Danio rerio: one gene and its partners. The protein of the gene in region 1 purifies or fractionates together with the protein of each later gene. This does not show direct contact. Links are inferred from orthologs where the notes say so. Each region holds a gene or a part of one and is shown on either strand. Other genes may lie near its edges.

The links.
Region 2: the proteins of anapc11 (region 1) and cdc27 purify together in Homo sapiens (affinity purification with mass spectrometry; 8 studies listed by BioGRID, with this or other methods). This does not show direct contact. The link is inferred for Danio rerio from reciprocal best matches to the Homo sapiens genes ANAPC11 and CDC27.
Region 3: the proteins of anapc11 (region 1) and anapc4 purify together in Homo sapiens (affinity purification with mass spectrometry; 8 studies listed by BioGRID and IntAct, with this or other methods). This does not show direct contact. The link is inferred for Danio rerio from reciprocal best matches to the Homo sapiens genes ANAPC11 and ANAPC4.

The regions. Positions count from the first base shown.
Region 1 is NC_133181.1:24,265,025-24,269,910, forward strand, and holds the end of anapc11 (anaphase-promoting complex subunit 11), read right to left. Parts: intron 1,601-4,886; coding exon 1,459-1,600; coding exon of another isoform or gene 1,455-1,458; intron 1,382-1,454; coding exon 1,366-1,381; 3' UTR 1,256-1,365; downstream 1-1,255. UniProt on the Homo sapiens protein: Together with the cullin protein ANAPC2, constitutes the catalytic component of the anaphase promoting complex/cyclosome (APC/C), a cell cycle-regulated E3 ubiquitin ligase that controls progression through mitosis and the G1 phase of the cell cycle.
Region 2 is NC_133178.1:20,775,465-20,780,585, reverse strand, and holds part of cdc27 (cell division cycle protein 27 homolog), read right to left. Parts: intron 4,686-5,121; coding exon 4,560-4,685; intron 1,883-4,559; coding exon 1,785-1,882; intron 1,690-1,784; coding exon 1,517-1,689; intron 1,132-1,516; coding exon 920-1,131; intron 430-919; coding exon 318-429; intron 1-317. UniProt on the Homo sapiens protein: Component of the anaphase promoting complex/cyclosome (APC/C), a cell cycle-regulated E3 ubiquitin ligase that controls progression through mitosis and the G1 phase of the cell cycle.
Region 3 is NC_133195.1:26,086,341-26,091,461, forward strand, and holds part of anapc4 (anaphase-promoting complex subunit 4), read right to left. Parts: intron 4,472-5,121; coding exon 4,388-4,471; intron 4,320-4,387; coding exon 4,233-4,319; intron 4,062-4,232; coding exon 3,997-4,061; intron 2,392-3,996; coding exon 2,349-2,391; intron 2,251-2,348; coding exon 2,174-2,250; intron 2,108-2,173; coding exon 2,007-2,107; intron 353-2,006; coding exon 301-352; intron 212-300; coding exon 156-211; intron 1-155. UniProt on the Homo sapiens protein: Component of the anaphase promoting complex/cyclosome (APC/C), a cell cycle-regulated E3 ubiquitin ligase that controls progression through mitosis and the G1 phase of the cell cycle.

The DNA of each region.
Region 1 (4,886 bases):
AGCTTTAAAACTAATTTTAAGGTCTATCTATCTATCTATCTATCTATCTATCTATCTATCTATCTATCTATCTATCTATAGATATATAGATAGATAGATAGATAGATAGATAGATAGATAGATAGATAGATAGATAGATAGATAGATAGATAGATAGATAGATAGATAGATAGATTCTGTAGCCTAGATTTTTACACTTTAGCATTAGAGTAAAATAAATAAATTTGCAGAATTTGTTAGTAGAAAACAAACAATTATATATATATATATATATATATATATATATATATATATATATATATATATATATATATATATATATATATATATATATATACACACATACATACATATATATATATATATATATATATATATATATATATATATACAAATATTTTTTTTTCAGGAATTTGTAGCTTAAGCAGTAATATGTTTCATAGAATAAAACAAAACAGTAATTAAACCATTAGTTATTAACAATAAAGACTGATAAACGTTTTGCAATTTCTTATTGTTTTGCTTATTTGTTTGATACTTGGGTCAGATGTTAAATCTACTGTATTTAGATTGTAGATTGATAATACAATTTGTACAATATAACAACCATTATGCCTCACAAAACAGCAAACCGGACATGTGAGTGCATAATGGGCCACTCTAGATGATGTATATCACTTTCATTTAGGATTTTTCTTTCTAATTGAGTCGACTGAATCTATTATATGATGTTTCATCATAATTTTTTTGATCATCATTTGTTGACAATTTCTAGTGCATAATTTATTTATTTTTTTGCAATATATCGTTTGAATTTAAATGTATTATCTTTCTATACCTGAAGGTGTTAGGTGAAAAAATATAGCTGTTTTGTTTAAATGCACCAAAAATTTTGTATATATTTGCTGAGAAATGGATCAAAATATAATTTTTTAAAAGGGGTTGTACTCGTATATGCTGAGCACTGTGTATGTATTTCCTCTCTAGTTATTCATCTTTTTATCTCTTTAATCTTAACATTTTAATCACTAGGAATAATCTTTGCAAAAAATAAATCTCCGTAGTAACTTAAATTCTGCCAGGATATCTTACTTTTGTGCAATACCCTTAGGACTGTTCTGCATTGTAAATAATAACAATTTTCACTTTTGGTGACCCAACCCTTTAATTCAGTTCAGTTCAATACAAATGTCACTGTTTAAACATGATTTACTAAACAGCAGCTCCACCAGTCTACAAAAAAAATCATACCATGTCATTTTTCACCATTTTATTTTTGGGACATTTAACAAGGAAACATATCATAAACAAACTATAGATAAAAACTGATACGACGCAGCATTTATTTCTGTGCAATTAATCTCCTCAGGAAGTGTCTCCCCTGAAATTAAAAAGAACTTCATTAGTCAAAGTCCAATATTTTAGGATATTATGCTATTGCCTGACAGGCAAGCTCACTCTTTAAACTTCCACTCCTGACGGCACATCGGGCACTGCTGCTGCACTTGCTGAGAGTTCAGCCACTTCAGGATGCAGTGCATGTGGAAACAGTGTGAACACTGACCCCAGACCAATGGACAGTCATCTCCTGGAACCTTACCTGTTAAAAGTAAAAAGTCTATTTTTAATATATTACGCGTTAAAAAAAAATGAACGCAGTTGCAGTTTTTTTTTTTTTTTTACTTTCTGTTGTTGTTGAAGTGTGTTTAACGTGCAAAAAATATGAATAAGACCAAGGAAGCACTTTTTGAAGGCAAGTTTCAGTATAAAACATTTAATGTCGCATCACCAGGCTCTCCAGAGTTTCATGCAATTTCGGGTGTTTCGTTTTTAACTTTCAACTTCTGTTTTAATGGAATTTGATACCACATGACGAACGGAAAGAAAAACCTCAGCATTTCGTGACTCTGTGGTCCTTTAAGATAATCAAAAATTGTTGCTTACATGGTAGACTCTTAATAAGAGTATTATCTTAATAATATTAAAATCGGAGTACTGGTGTCCATGTACATACTCAGAACGTGTCAGATGAAGTCGCGAGTTTTCAAAGACAGCGCATTCCTCTGCCTTTCAGTATGAGCCCTCCAATGTTTCATTAAGTTTTGTAAAGTGTCTGCCTCCCGTTGTTGTGTCAGAATCCTTATGAAATACAGGCATACTTTAGAACACTTAGTTTAAGCAAATTTGATGAACGCGATCATGCGTGTTGAATCTGAAGAGAGTCGCTCCGGCTGCCCTGTCCTGACCTGCGCGCATTTTGTGTGCATATGTATGTGTGTATGAGTGTGTGTGTGTGTGTCTGTGTCAGGCCCGTGCACAAAGCACAGACCCTTACAAGGGCAGGTACTCAACGCGATCGTAAAGTGAAGAGCAAATGCCTCCTGAGAGGGGCACCTCAGCCAATAAGGGCGGAGGGGCAGTGGCTCTAGCCAGAGGGCCACCCCCCTATGCATGGCCCTGGTCTGTGTGTGCGCGAAACCTGCCTAAACGTTGTTGTCTGTAGCCACTAAATCAAAAAGTTACGAATTGCCATGCAATGAATTGCATTTCACTCTCAGCTCACATTATTCCAAAAAAAAAGGTCAACAGACTGCATTGTCTTAGCAACTGGATGAATGTAAAGGAGGACTAAGCAAAATTGTTTCTACTTTATAATTAATGTTCTCAACTCACAGCAATAAAACTTTACAATGAGTACAATTGTTTGTATTAAATTCTTTATTGTTATTATAATTTTCCATTTTCCATAACTTCGATGCCTGTATTTTGGCATTTTTTTTGCAGAATCGAACTTGGAAATCATTTTTTTCTTTACTGGTATTGATTGTTTTAAAATTAAAATGGCATTAACACACAGAAAATATGAATGTCAAGCCAGCATCTTGATGGATTTGTGTGGAAATGTTGTTTACATGAAAAAATCTGTGTTACGAGTTATACACAAATTCTAATAAACAATTATATTTTGAATTTAAATAATTTTTGTCTTGCGTTTACATTAAGTTTACATTTGAATAGCCAAAATTACAAGTTTCAGTCTTTTAAATGCAAAAATTTTTCCAAAAAAAGTGTGATTAATTCGTTTTTTTTATTTTTATATTTTAATACATTTTTAAATCGATTGTCAGCACTAATATATATATATATATATATATATATATATATATATATATATATATATATATATATATATATATATATATATATATATATATATATATATATATATAATAAAGAGGGAGGTGGGTGAAATTACGAGACTTTTTTTTTTTTGAAAGAAATAAAAACGGGATGTTTGCGGTAGACTGGTCTGAAATATGTGATACTCCCATGAAAAATGGAAGTGTTGGCTGGTGTGCTTACCCGTTTAATATTGATTTAATCTGCTATAGTTGGAAATCAGACTGTTATATCGTCTAAGCGTAAGGGCTTATGCGGTTCTGCCGCCATCTTTTGGTAGAAAGCGTCAACTGCCGCCAACGAGCTGTCTCAGAAATTGTAAATATTTTAAAATAGGCATTATTCTTGCAAATAAACTGCATAGTTGCGATCTAAACAACTACATTCTTGAAAAAGCCTCAAAAGTATATTTTGTTGTGTAACAGCAGTAATGTTTGTCAAACTGTAGTGTCTGCTTGTTGCTGGCTGTATGTGGACGGAGTAATACACAAAGGGTAAAGAGGCTGTACGGATGCTGATATTACTTAAATATATCACAGCTATCAGCCAATCAGATTCGAGATCCAGACAGAACTGTTGTATAAACATACATACACACACAACTAATGCTTAAGGCATTCCAAGACAGGCACCATCAAGTGTATCTGTCTGCGGACTGCAAGACAGGTGTAGTTGGTAAGAAAGGTGTAACTTGCAGCTATCGAGACCAACTGAACCATGCAAGATTTCATAACGAGATGTTGGCAAGATGGCGAAAATACTTAACAAAGAACAATTTTTTACCAAATGTTTTTATGCGTTTTCTCCAAATGTATCTACAACCAATTAATATGCTATATTATTATATTCATTCATTTAGCAACTCTATGCAGTTTATTTATACGGATAATGCCAATTTTTAATGTAATTTCTGAGAGACAGCGTGATTTCAGAGAGATGATTAGCCTGTCACGAAGCAAAGACGATTGACAATGTCCATCCACAAGATAATAACCCCTTGGAGGAGAAAAACGCCATACAGTAATTTCTAACTATACATGATCAAATTATTACTAAAAAGGCCAGTGACATTATAAGTTGATCTCTCTCTCTTTTATGTTTTAGTGCTGTATTTATTATACTATAATTATATTGTAGTGTATTGAGTGGGAGATGGGACTCGGATCAGTAATGTATATATTTTGTGTTGGCCACTCCTTGTATAACCCCAAGTAACTTTTTGGTTGGCCATTTGTTTGTTTCTAATGAGTCTCCTGTTTTCGTTACTGCAGACTGGTTCAGTAAAAAAAAAAAAAAAAGAAGAAATATATGCATTTTTTCCACTAATATACATACACATATATATATATATATATATATATATATATATATATATATATATATAGGGTGGGCCATTTACATGGATACACCTTAATAAAATGGGAATAGTTGGTAATATTAATGTCTTGTTTGTGGCACATAAGTATATGTGAGGGGGCCAACTTTTCAAGATGGGTGGTGACCATAGTGGCTACTTTAAAGTCGGCCATCTTTGTCCCAAATTTGTTTTTTCGATAGGAAAAGGATCATTGTCCCATCAAACTTGCTTGGTTTTAATATAACTATTCTTAAAAAATAAAGTTACATTAAAACCAGGCACACCATTGTTTTTCTCATGAAATTCCCAATATGTTTGATGCGTCAAATGACCTTTTTCCTATTGAAAT
Region 2 (5,121 bases), on another chromosome or scaffold:
GATTTACAATACAGTTTGTAAAGTAATATTTTCTACCTATAAGTAGATATATGATATGAGAGACTTGATGGATTTGCATTGTAAACATTAAATAAAAGATATTTTATTTCACATATTAAATTTTTAGTTATGATGCTCCCAAAATAATTCCACACAAATCCGCCGATTTTTTACAAAATTCTTCACAGAAATAGCAAGAATAACCGCAGATTCTGTCTTGGCCCTACTTACAGTTATAGCAATAAAAACAAAGATAGTTAGCTACAATTAGACACTAGTACTTTAATACTAATCTGCTATAAATAAATAAGGCTTACCTTCTTTGGGGGGCCAGGCGCAGGAGGTGGCTCCATCCCAGTTCCACTGTGACCATAACTCTGCAGGTACGCTGGATCTCCTGGGCTTGGCTCCAGAGGCAAAATTCCAAAACTACACCATTTAAACAGAGAGACTAATTACTAGACTAAAAACATAACAGATCAAAGTTCTTCACATCCATGAAGAGAAAGAATTAATGAAGAACGTTTGTTTGTCATCCCAGCTTCTATAACTACTTTTATTGCAAGATTTTTTTTACAATATATTTATGATTAAAAACTATTTGTAATAAAAAGGCTAAAATAGCTTCTAAAACATTTAACTGAATAAAAAGATGTTTTAATTAGAAAGAATTAAAAGCAAATGCGCTCCAATTAAGCATGCTTGATAGTTAAATGCTTTAACAAATATAGCATGGTGGAGGATCTACTCCAAGTATTAAAGACCTGTCATCATGCAGATCCCACTGGATGGAGAATTAAGAGAGTTTTTTTTACCAACATTATAAATAACGTACTTGGAACTTGGAGTAATCTTCTGCATGATTACCTGTAGCAAATATCGGTCTTAATGTCCAATTAAAATCTCAGGAGCTCATTACCTTGGAGTGAGGGGACTGAGCGTGGCTGTGCCCCCCAGTAGACAGCGGCCACTTTTGGGTTTATTCTGAACCTGTTTGGATAAGAGTGAGCCACTACTGCTCAGTGGCACAGAGTCTGGCGAAATGACGGAGGAGTCGATGTATGACACAGAGGAGTCCGTATTCAGAGAGTACTTGGAGTTAGAAGATTCTAGATTGAGTCGGTTTTGCTCCTTTAAAGAAAGAAAAACAAACAATTGCATAAAACAAAGATTAAATTGTTTACGTGGACACAAATATGCTGATGACTCAGAAAAATGCTTTCTGAAATAACCAGCTGTCATGGGTTACAGGTATACCAATAACCCACAGACATATGATTATACGAGGGCAAAAAAAAAAGAAAATACAAGTCAAAATGGTGCATTCCCTCTTCCCCTACTGTAAATGTTTGCTATTTCTAGATAAATATGTCATTTTTCTGACATCACATATGCACGCTTCAATAAAGCTGGGTAATGATGTTACATTCTGGAAAAAATTACTGTGAGGCAAAAATCTAGCTGTGACAATTGGTTTATGTATATAGCCTTGTACAAAACCAGACGACAGACATACCAAAGTTTCCTGTGGGGTCTCCATTAGGACAGTGTCGACTTGTCTGTGTCCCATGTTGTTACTAGGTGTGTGCGCAGGGCTAATGGGAGAGGGAGGGATGCCTCCTCCACTGCCTCCACTAAAATTCTGCAAGGAGGTCAATCTGAAGATTTGCTCCGGGTCTGGCCGCTCCCCTGTAGGACAGAGGGGCATGATTTAAACTCATATTCTCAGGCATCTCCTGAAGAAATATTGCATAGCTTGAGGTTATTCTGAGAAACACGCTTACCGATTTGACATAATGACTCGAATGGAGACCATAAGAAGGGGTTCTCGCTCATGCTCTTTTGGTAACATTCTGCTCCTTTTGCTATCCGATCAGTTTTGCTGCAGGGGAAAGAAAGCAGCATTAGTTTTGTGTATGATTGCCAGCAATTTAGTAGCAGAAAATTAGGGTTGCATGATATTGGGGGGGAAAAAACAACAACCTGACATCGCAATATTTAGTTTTTCTTCAGTATATTGCAATATTAATACAATTTGACCAGATGAACTGAATAGCTTTGTTGGGTAATAATTCAACATTTTTGATTAATTGGAATAAAAGGCTGTGCATCATTGGGGTAGATCTTGTAGGGCAGTGCATCTGCATAAAATATAATAAAAATATAAGCATAAATGTACAGTATAGCAATGACACAAGTAAAATAAATAGTGCTTTATAATTTTCTGGTGTACAGAATTAGAAAAATTCAAACTAGGGCTGGACACTTAAGTGAAAAGAAACTAAAATTCATAACTTATAACCAACGAAACTTCCCCATGTTGGTCATTTCGGTTATTCATTATTTCTACTTTCTCTTTAAAAACATACCACCCTGTGTGAACCATGTTCATGTCTGACACACCATAAACTCACTCTTTCTCTTATATAGGAGAAAAAAAGAGAATCTCTCAAACATATAAATCATATTCTTTGTAGCTGGCTTATTTGGTATTGGAGATAATTCAAAGGTCAGTGCACACATACCATGCACAATTTCACTTCAGCAAATCAGTTTGAGTGAACGCAGACAATGGCATTTATATTCAGAAGCAAGACAGATTATTAGTAGCAATAGATCATTAATTTTTTATTTTAAATAACCCATGTGTCAAGCTGCAAGCAACACCCTTTCCAGCTGCTTATTCCTTTACTTCTAAGAATATGCCACAGTGATAGTACAATGACTAAACTTGCCAAGGTAAAACATAAGTTACATAAATTTTGTAAAACAAATATTTACAGATTTAATAGGTTTAGGTTTACTATTTCCAGTCATCACATATGAAATGTATATAGCTGACTTTTCCTAAAAGAGCACAATTTCATTAGAAAGAGATTTCTCACCTTTAATAGTAGAGTATATTTACAGCACAAAGGATACCGCATTAAACGATGAAAGGTAAAACAATATGTAAATAAATAATTACATTGAAAATGTAAAAATAAAAAACGCAATCAATAATTGAAATAATCAATTTAATTTAGAATGCGCTTTTCTAAAAGCCAAAACACTAAAGAAATCAAGGTAAAGTGGTAAATCAAAAGTTTTGAATTTATCGCCCAGTTCTAAATCAAATAACATTGTATTGTCTGCATTCTATCAAATTACATACAGTTATAGTTAAAGCTACATAAACGTCATAATTGTGCCCAAATGCTTTAACCTCAAAATTCTTAGTCACAAGCCTTAAACAAACATCCAATTAAAATGACAGTTTACTCTATTATGGTTCAACTTTACAGTGACTCTACAAATCATGCATTTTTAACTGTGGTGCAGAAATCCAAATTACAACAGGCTGAAAATGCACTTTCATTTTAATTAATTAAAAAAAATAATAATAACAGTAGATTAAAGTGGAGCATCTCATGTAAAGCTGTCGAGAATCCCAGCTTCTGCTTGTAGTGAGAACAAAGTGAGCACAAAGAAAACTTGATGTCTCAACATATTCAAATATTACTTGAAGTCACTGATTTAAACATCTGCCATGTCCTAGATTTCAAAGTGACCCACTTCATGCGATCAATAAAAAGCAAGCAAAACATGCACACTTTTGGATGTGTGCTGAATGAGACACGAGTGTGTGTACAGCGCAGTTCCCAGCTTCCCACATGCCACTTTAAATAAATTTGCTTCTTAACATTCTATTGAACATCCCTACATCTTGGATGGCCTGAGGATAAAGAGATTAACAAAAGACTCTTAATTTTTTGGGATGAGCTATGCTCTGTGAGGCAGTTTACACCAATGTTCATGTACTTCGAAATTAATTGTTGATGAAATTTGAAAAATAAATATCTGCTCATGAAGGGAACAGCTGATAGATGTAGCTTTCAAAGGCAATTCATGTTGACATACATGCTTAAAATAGAAGTTCTAGTAAATTGAAACAGTGTCAGTCCAGTTTTCAGAGTGGAAGTTCAGCTTAGTGTGGTTTAATTTTCACTGCTTAAAAATTTCAAACACTGAAGAGCAAATGTTTGTGTTTCGTGCCAGTGCTTGGTGAATACTGATAAAGTGATGATCACTGAATCCAAATCCATTATATCGGTTGAATGTGAACACTGGCCAGTCTGCAGTGTTTAAGAACCGGCTCAACAGCACTCAAATGTTAGCAGGGAGTGGACATTTATAAATTTCCGTACCAAAAAAACAAAGTAAGTATTTTGGATGACCCTACTTTACACAACATCACATGATTCATTAGAAAAGGAATCTCCCATAGAAAAAAAACAAAGGAGCCTCTGTTACTAAACAACCTGCCACCAGCTACCTGTAGAAATACTGAATTCAAGCAATCTTATGGTCACTGAGCACATCAAAAAACTCAAAACAGGCTTGGTTACCACTAAATCCATTAAGAGCTTTGTACCAGTCGCCTTTCCACAAATTAAACAACAATTTCTCACTAACAGCTCTTTGCTCAACAATAACAGCAGAGTAGATATCTTCATAGCTTCGCTACAGTTTACGGATTTCAGCAGATCAAGTTTAGAAGCCAAACAAGCTCAACATACCAGTAAATTTGTCCGAGCAATGCCAGAGTGAAGCAGGCCGAGTCTCCAAACTCAGTTATGATGTCATCTTGACTTTTCTGTTTGTTCAAAACTCCTCCGGTCAGGATCTGTTCTCCTTCTGCCAACCTGACAGACAATAAACAACAATTAAATTAACTAAAAATTACAAAAACATTGAAGAGCTTCATTAGACATGATATGAATCTAAAAAGAAGGTGAAGCCATTACATTTATGGTAATGAGATTTATTGCTTCCAATTCTATTCCTTTCTATGACCAATACTAATCTTTCTATTGTATTGATAGTTCTTGAAGTCATCTCACTTACAGACTGCTACATTCAAAATACATTGATGGCATGAATGTTAAATTAAATCAGCATATAAACTCATACACTTCTAAGCAAGATTTAAACTGCTTGATTCAGTCAAAAACAAAAAGGATTCATGCAACATAAAATAAAAAACAGAGTATAAAATAAAATATCAAAAAACAGAGTAACTCAGCATTTAACTTTGAAATATCCGAATAGGTATCAATTACTTTGAAACAAATAAATCTT
Region 3 (5,121 bases), on another chromosome or scaffold:
CATCCTCTGTGTCAGTTTGCACATTGTTAAAATAACAATACTTGAAATCTAGCAAACTTCCATTAGGAAGCTTTAAGTAACACTAGGTTTTGAATCAGAGACTTGACTACATTTATTTGCAAGGTAAATCTCACACAAAAAAAAATGCTGCTTACCAACATACAGCCATCTGAAGAAGGCTTTGAAGTTCTTCATACTTTTATCGATGACTCTGAAATACAATCAGTAGAGAAGAGTTTTATAATGAATTATACAGAGCAGACAATAAGATCACAGTAGACAGAATAACAATAAACTCACTGTAAAAGTTCGCTGGCCTTCAGGGTAAAAGAGCCCACTGCTACGATGGCATCTAAACCATAAACAAGAGAGAATGCAAAGAAAATATCTTTTAAATATCAAACATAATTCCAATTAGTGTGAACTTTTATTTAAAGTATGTTTTTAATTGTCAACTGGATATTATGCAAGCAAAAGAATGCACAAAATATGATCAGATTAATCGACTATCTGCTGTTCACCAAAACTATTATTATTGTTAACTGAACAAAGTCTAGATTAAAATAACCATGCGACTACATTAAAGGATCACAAAACACCAAAACACAATTTTTTGAGATGTTGAAAGTGATATTTGTGTCCTACGCGTGAAAGTGAAAACTGGTTGTTTTGCATTATTTCGAGCAAATTAGATCTTCCGGTTTGAAAATAAATTTCAAAACTACGTCACGGCCATGAGATTCTTGTGTAAATACCAGAGTACAGACTGGATGTCTGTACCGGCTAGTACAAATTGACATTTTTTAGTTTTTATCATTAACTCATGAGAAAGACTTGGTTCGAACCAATCAGCGTGCTCTATTGTGTGTGAGGTGTAACTTCATTAATATGCATGATAGCTTCGAAGACTGTTTTTACCTGTTACGGTGTTCAGAGAGACACCACGTTGTATTTCCAACCGTAATTAAAACAAGTGGAAAAAGAAGAATTGTTTTGAGACGAGGGTCACCAGTATTGCACAGCATTAGTATAGCACAGTGTGTGGACCCACATATGTGCATTACAGTGGTCTGCTAACACGCAATAAAAATATGTTTGTAAGGAACATTTCTGTACCGAAGAGCTTTTTGCATATGTATATAGTGAAATCCAGAAAAGCCACTCGTTTCTTTTTTAAAAAGTTGGAGTTCCAGTTGGAGTTGATTGTCCTGTCTTTAAGGTTTTAGTAAGTGTGTGATCAGTGTTTGTTGTTTATGTTTATTCAGATGGCAAAGTTAGTTAGTATCATCAGCAGTACTCTTTCAGTTTTTAAAGACATGCCTTAGTCAAAATGATTAAGTTACTAAATTTACAGTATGTTAAAATCACTACAATATTATGGACTGATAGATCCGCTGTAAATGCTGCTCTCCAAATGTAAACACATTAATCAAACTAATATCATTGTGTTGGATTTTCACCACATTTTTGTGACAGGATAGTCTATACACACACGGCTGTTTAATGCTATTCTCTGCACCTACCTAGTCTCAAGCATTAAAGGAACATTTAAAAGCAACTCATGTAAACACCTTAATCTTATTATTGTCTTTTTCAGATTAAAGCAAATAATTTGATTACTGATGTCCTTGTAAAAGTAATCACAGTCTATCTCCCTTGTGTCCATGTTTGCGTTGCCGCTGTGAAAATCAGCTGTAGTGCTCGTAATGAAACTCCCCTTTTCATGCAAACCCTTCCCTCTTTTTCCACTCGACACTCCCGCCTAAACAAAGCTGGACTAACCCACTTTCCAGACATTTTTCAAACTAGAGGTCTGAAAAGACCCTGCTGAGAAAGGGGTGGAGTCATGGCCCTTTGATATACATATTAGAATTAAATATTAATGCGCATAACACATAAAATGAAAAATATATAATATATTGTTGAAACTGATTCAAAGTATTCATGAATAATAGAATATAAATAATAATAAAATAATTAAAGTCTACAAACAGTGATTGTTTTACCCTCTATGTCTGAAGGATCCAGGCCTAGAGGCTGAAACTTCTGCTTCCATAGAGCCATTCCTTTGACCTCGCTCAGGTGATAGAGCAGCGCCTCAGAGCCACTATGGGAACAGCAAACACTGATCATGCTGATCGCTAACACTCTCTATCAGGTGAACAATACCCACCTCTGCAAGTGACTGATAACAAGTTTCTGAATGCTGGAATAGGAAGAATCAATAGACTGACCCAGCATCTTCAAGCCCTGAGTGGTCAAATAACAAAAAATGTAGTTACAATGAATGATGTTGGTAATAATCACTAAAGCAATGTAAGCAGATAGGATTAGCAAGGTAGATTTACCTTGACTGTGAGCTGATTCATGAGAAGAGCCTGAAGTTCAGGGCTGAAAGAGAAAACTGCATTTATAAAGTTTTAAAAAAGTAACATCAACACATCATCATCAAAAAAACAGTACTACAGCTGTTTGTATTCAGGCTGGAGATCTAAAAAAAACCTGAACATTTTTTTCCTTAAAGTTTTTTTGTTCATCCAGAAATAAGGATCTATGGGGTGAAAAAACACATTTTGGCTTATTTCCCTACTAGTGACAGCCTTTGGATAATGGTTGTAAATGAATGTATTGTAGATGGTATTTTTTCAGATTCTGTCGGTAGCTGTAAAAGTTTTAAAGTCACATTGTGCCCTCTGTTGGTCATTCAGAGCAAATACAAGCATGAGAAGGTTGACTGTGGTACTTCTCAACCTTTTTGTCTTCAAGGCATCCCACTGAGGCATATATTTACATTCCAAACAGAGACAAGATGTGCCATTTTGGTGTCCACATTAAAGGAATAGTTCACCCGAAAATGAAAACTCTGTTATCATTTGCTTATCTTCCACTTGTTTCAAACCTGTTCCAAAAAAGAAGATGCTTTGAAGAATGTTGGGAAGCAGCAGCCACAGCATTTCTGTTCCCACTGTGAATGTCAATGACTGCAGGTTTGCAACATTCTTTAGAACATATTGATTTGTGTTCAACAGCAAAAAGAAATTCATGAAAGTTTAGAAACACTTAGGAAGTATTTATATTTGTTTAGACTATCACTTAAAATTACATTAAACAAAAACTGATTTCATGTACAGTTAAATCAAAATTATTAGCCTCCTGTTAATTTTGAACTATTTAAAAAAAAAAACAAGTGCTGCTGAACAGAGAAGAACACATTTCTAAACATATTAGTTTTAATGACTATCTTTTTATGACTGTCTTTGCAGTGATGACAGTCCATCATATTTTACTAATTACTTTGCAGGACACTGGAATTCAGCTTAAAGTGACATTTAAAGGCTTAAATAAGTTTATTGGGTTAACTTTGTACGTTAATTTAATTAGGCAAGTTATTGGATAAGTCCTGTAACCAATCAAAAATAAATATTTCTTAAAGGGCTAATAAACCTGGCCTTAACGGATTAATGTAAAACTTCTTTTATTTAAGCAAAACTAAAAGAAATAAGACTTTCTCCAGAAGAAAAAATATTATAGGAAATACTGTCCTTGCTCTGTTAAATATTACAATAATTTCTTCGTTTTGCCCTCAATTGTACATAGAAGAAATCTAAAATCTATGTGACATGTCTACTTCAATATAATACAATTTGTTTTAAATATATGATTTAAAAGTTTATTTTAAAATTATATCAAATACTCAGATTTAAATAAATAAAAATAAATAAATAAAATATACGTGCTGCGCTAACACGAGACTCTTATCGCGCAACAAAAAAATATTGCCGTGAATGTACTCTCAAAGTTGGTTTGGGAGCTGGGTCTATTCTACGCAAGCTATGATGACTTTCACCTTGATATGTATACCTGACCGGTGAGCCGTCTGACAAAAAGTGCCCTTCTGAATGAAATCAGCAGGATGCCTGACTTTAACTGCAGTTCGGCAGTTTCACTTTAACTCATGAATGAACATTTCATCTATTTCATCTATAAATTGTTTACCTTGCATGGCCCCATAACAGCAGCTCCAAAAACTCATCCTGAACCTGAGTGCTTGTGTTTTTTTCCTGTAAAACAACACTGCAACTCATCAACTGTTCTAAAAGTTTTAATAAACAAATCAAAGCCAGTTAGGATAGCTTCAGTGGATCAGTCCATTATTGCAATAATCAACTGTGGTTTAAATGTCTAATGAATGCCAGTGGTGTCTTATAACTGCTTGTTTGTTTTGAACTGACCTGGACAAACTTAGTGAGGCGGAGGTCCATCTGCATAAGAATTTCCTCCCATGCTTCACACATGCAGGTGAGAGAGACACGCAGATACTAAAAAGACAAAAGAGAATGAAACATACTATCTGCGCGAGAACAGAAGATTATAAGAAGACAGTCACCTGTAGCAGTGTTGAGATATGTGTGAACTTGCGTGCCATCTTGGTCAGTTCGGGCAGACATGAAGACAGCAGCCCAGTGTCCAGCTACAATACAATCAATCACAGTATCAGAATACACTATTTGCTGTTTTAATACATGTGAATTTGTCAAATTATCAATATATAGAGCAGGTAATAACGGTCAATATGGTATTTATTAATCTATTCATTTTATTTGTAAAAATAAATATATAATACTTGTAAGGGCTATATAAATATTATATATTTTGTATATGGGTCAGTGATGAGACGTCCTCTTTTGATATACAGTTGAAGACAGAATTATTAGCCCCCCTTTGAATTTTTTTTCTTTTTTAATATTTCCCAAATGATGTTTAACAGAGCAAGGAAATTTTCACAGTACGTCTGATAATATTTTTTCTTCAGGAGAAAGTCTTATTTGTTTTATTTCGGCTAGAATAAAGAAAGTTAAAAAAACTAAAAAACATTAAGGTCAAAATTATTATTAGCCCCTTTAATCTATACATATTTTTAGATAGTCTATAGAACAAATCATCATTATACAATAACTTGCCTAATTACCCTAACCTGTCTATTTAACCTAATTAACCTAGTTAAGCCTTTACATGGCACTTTAAGCTGTATAGAATTGTCTCGAAAAATATCTAGTAAAATATTATTTAGTGTCATCATGGCAAAGAAAAAAAAAATCAGTCATTAGAGATGAGATATTA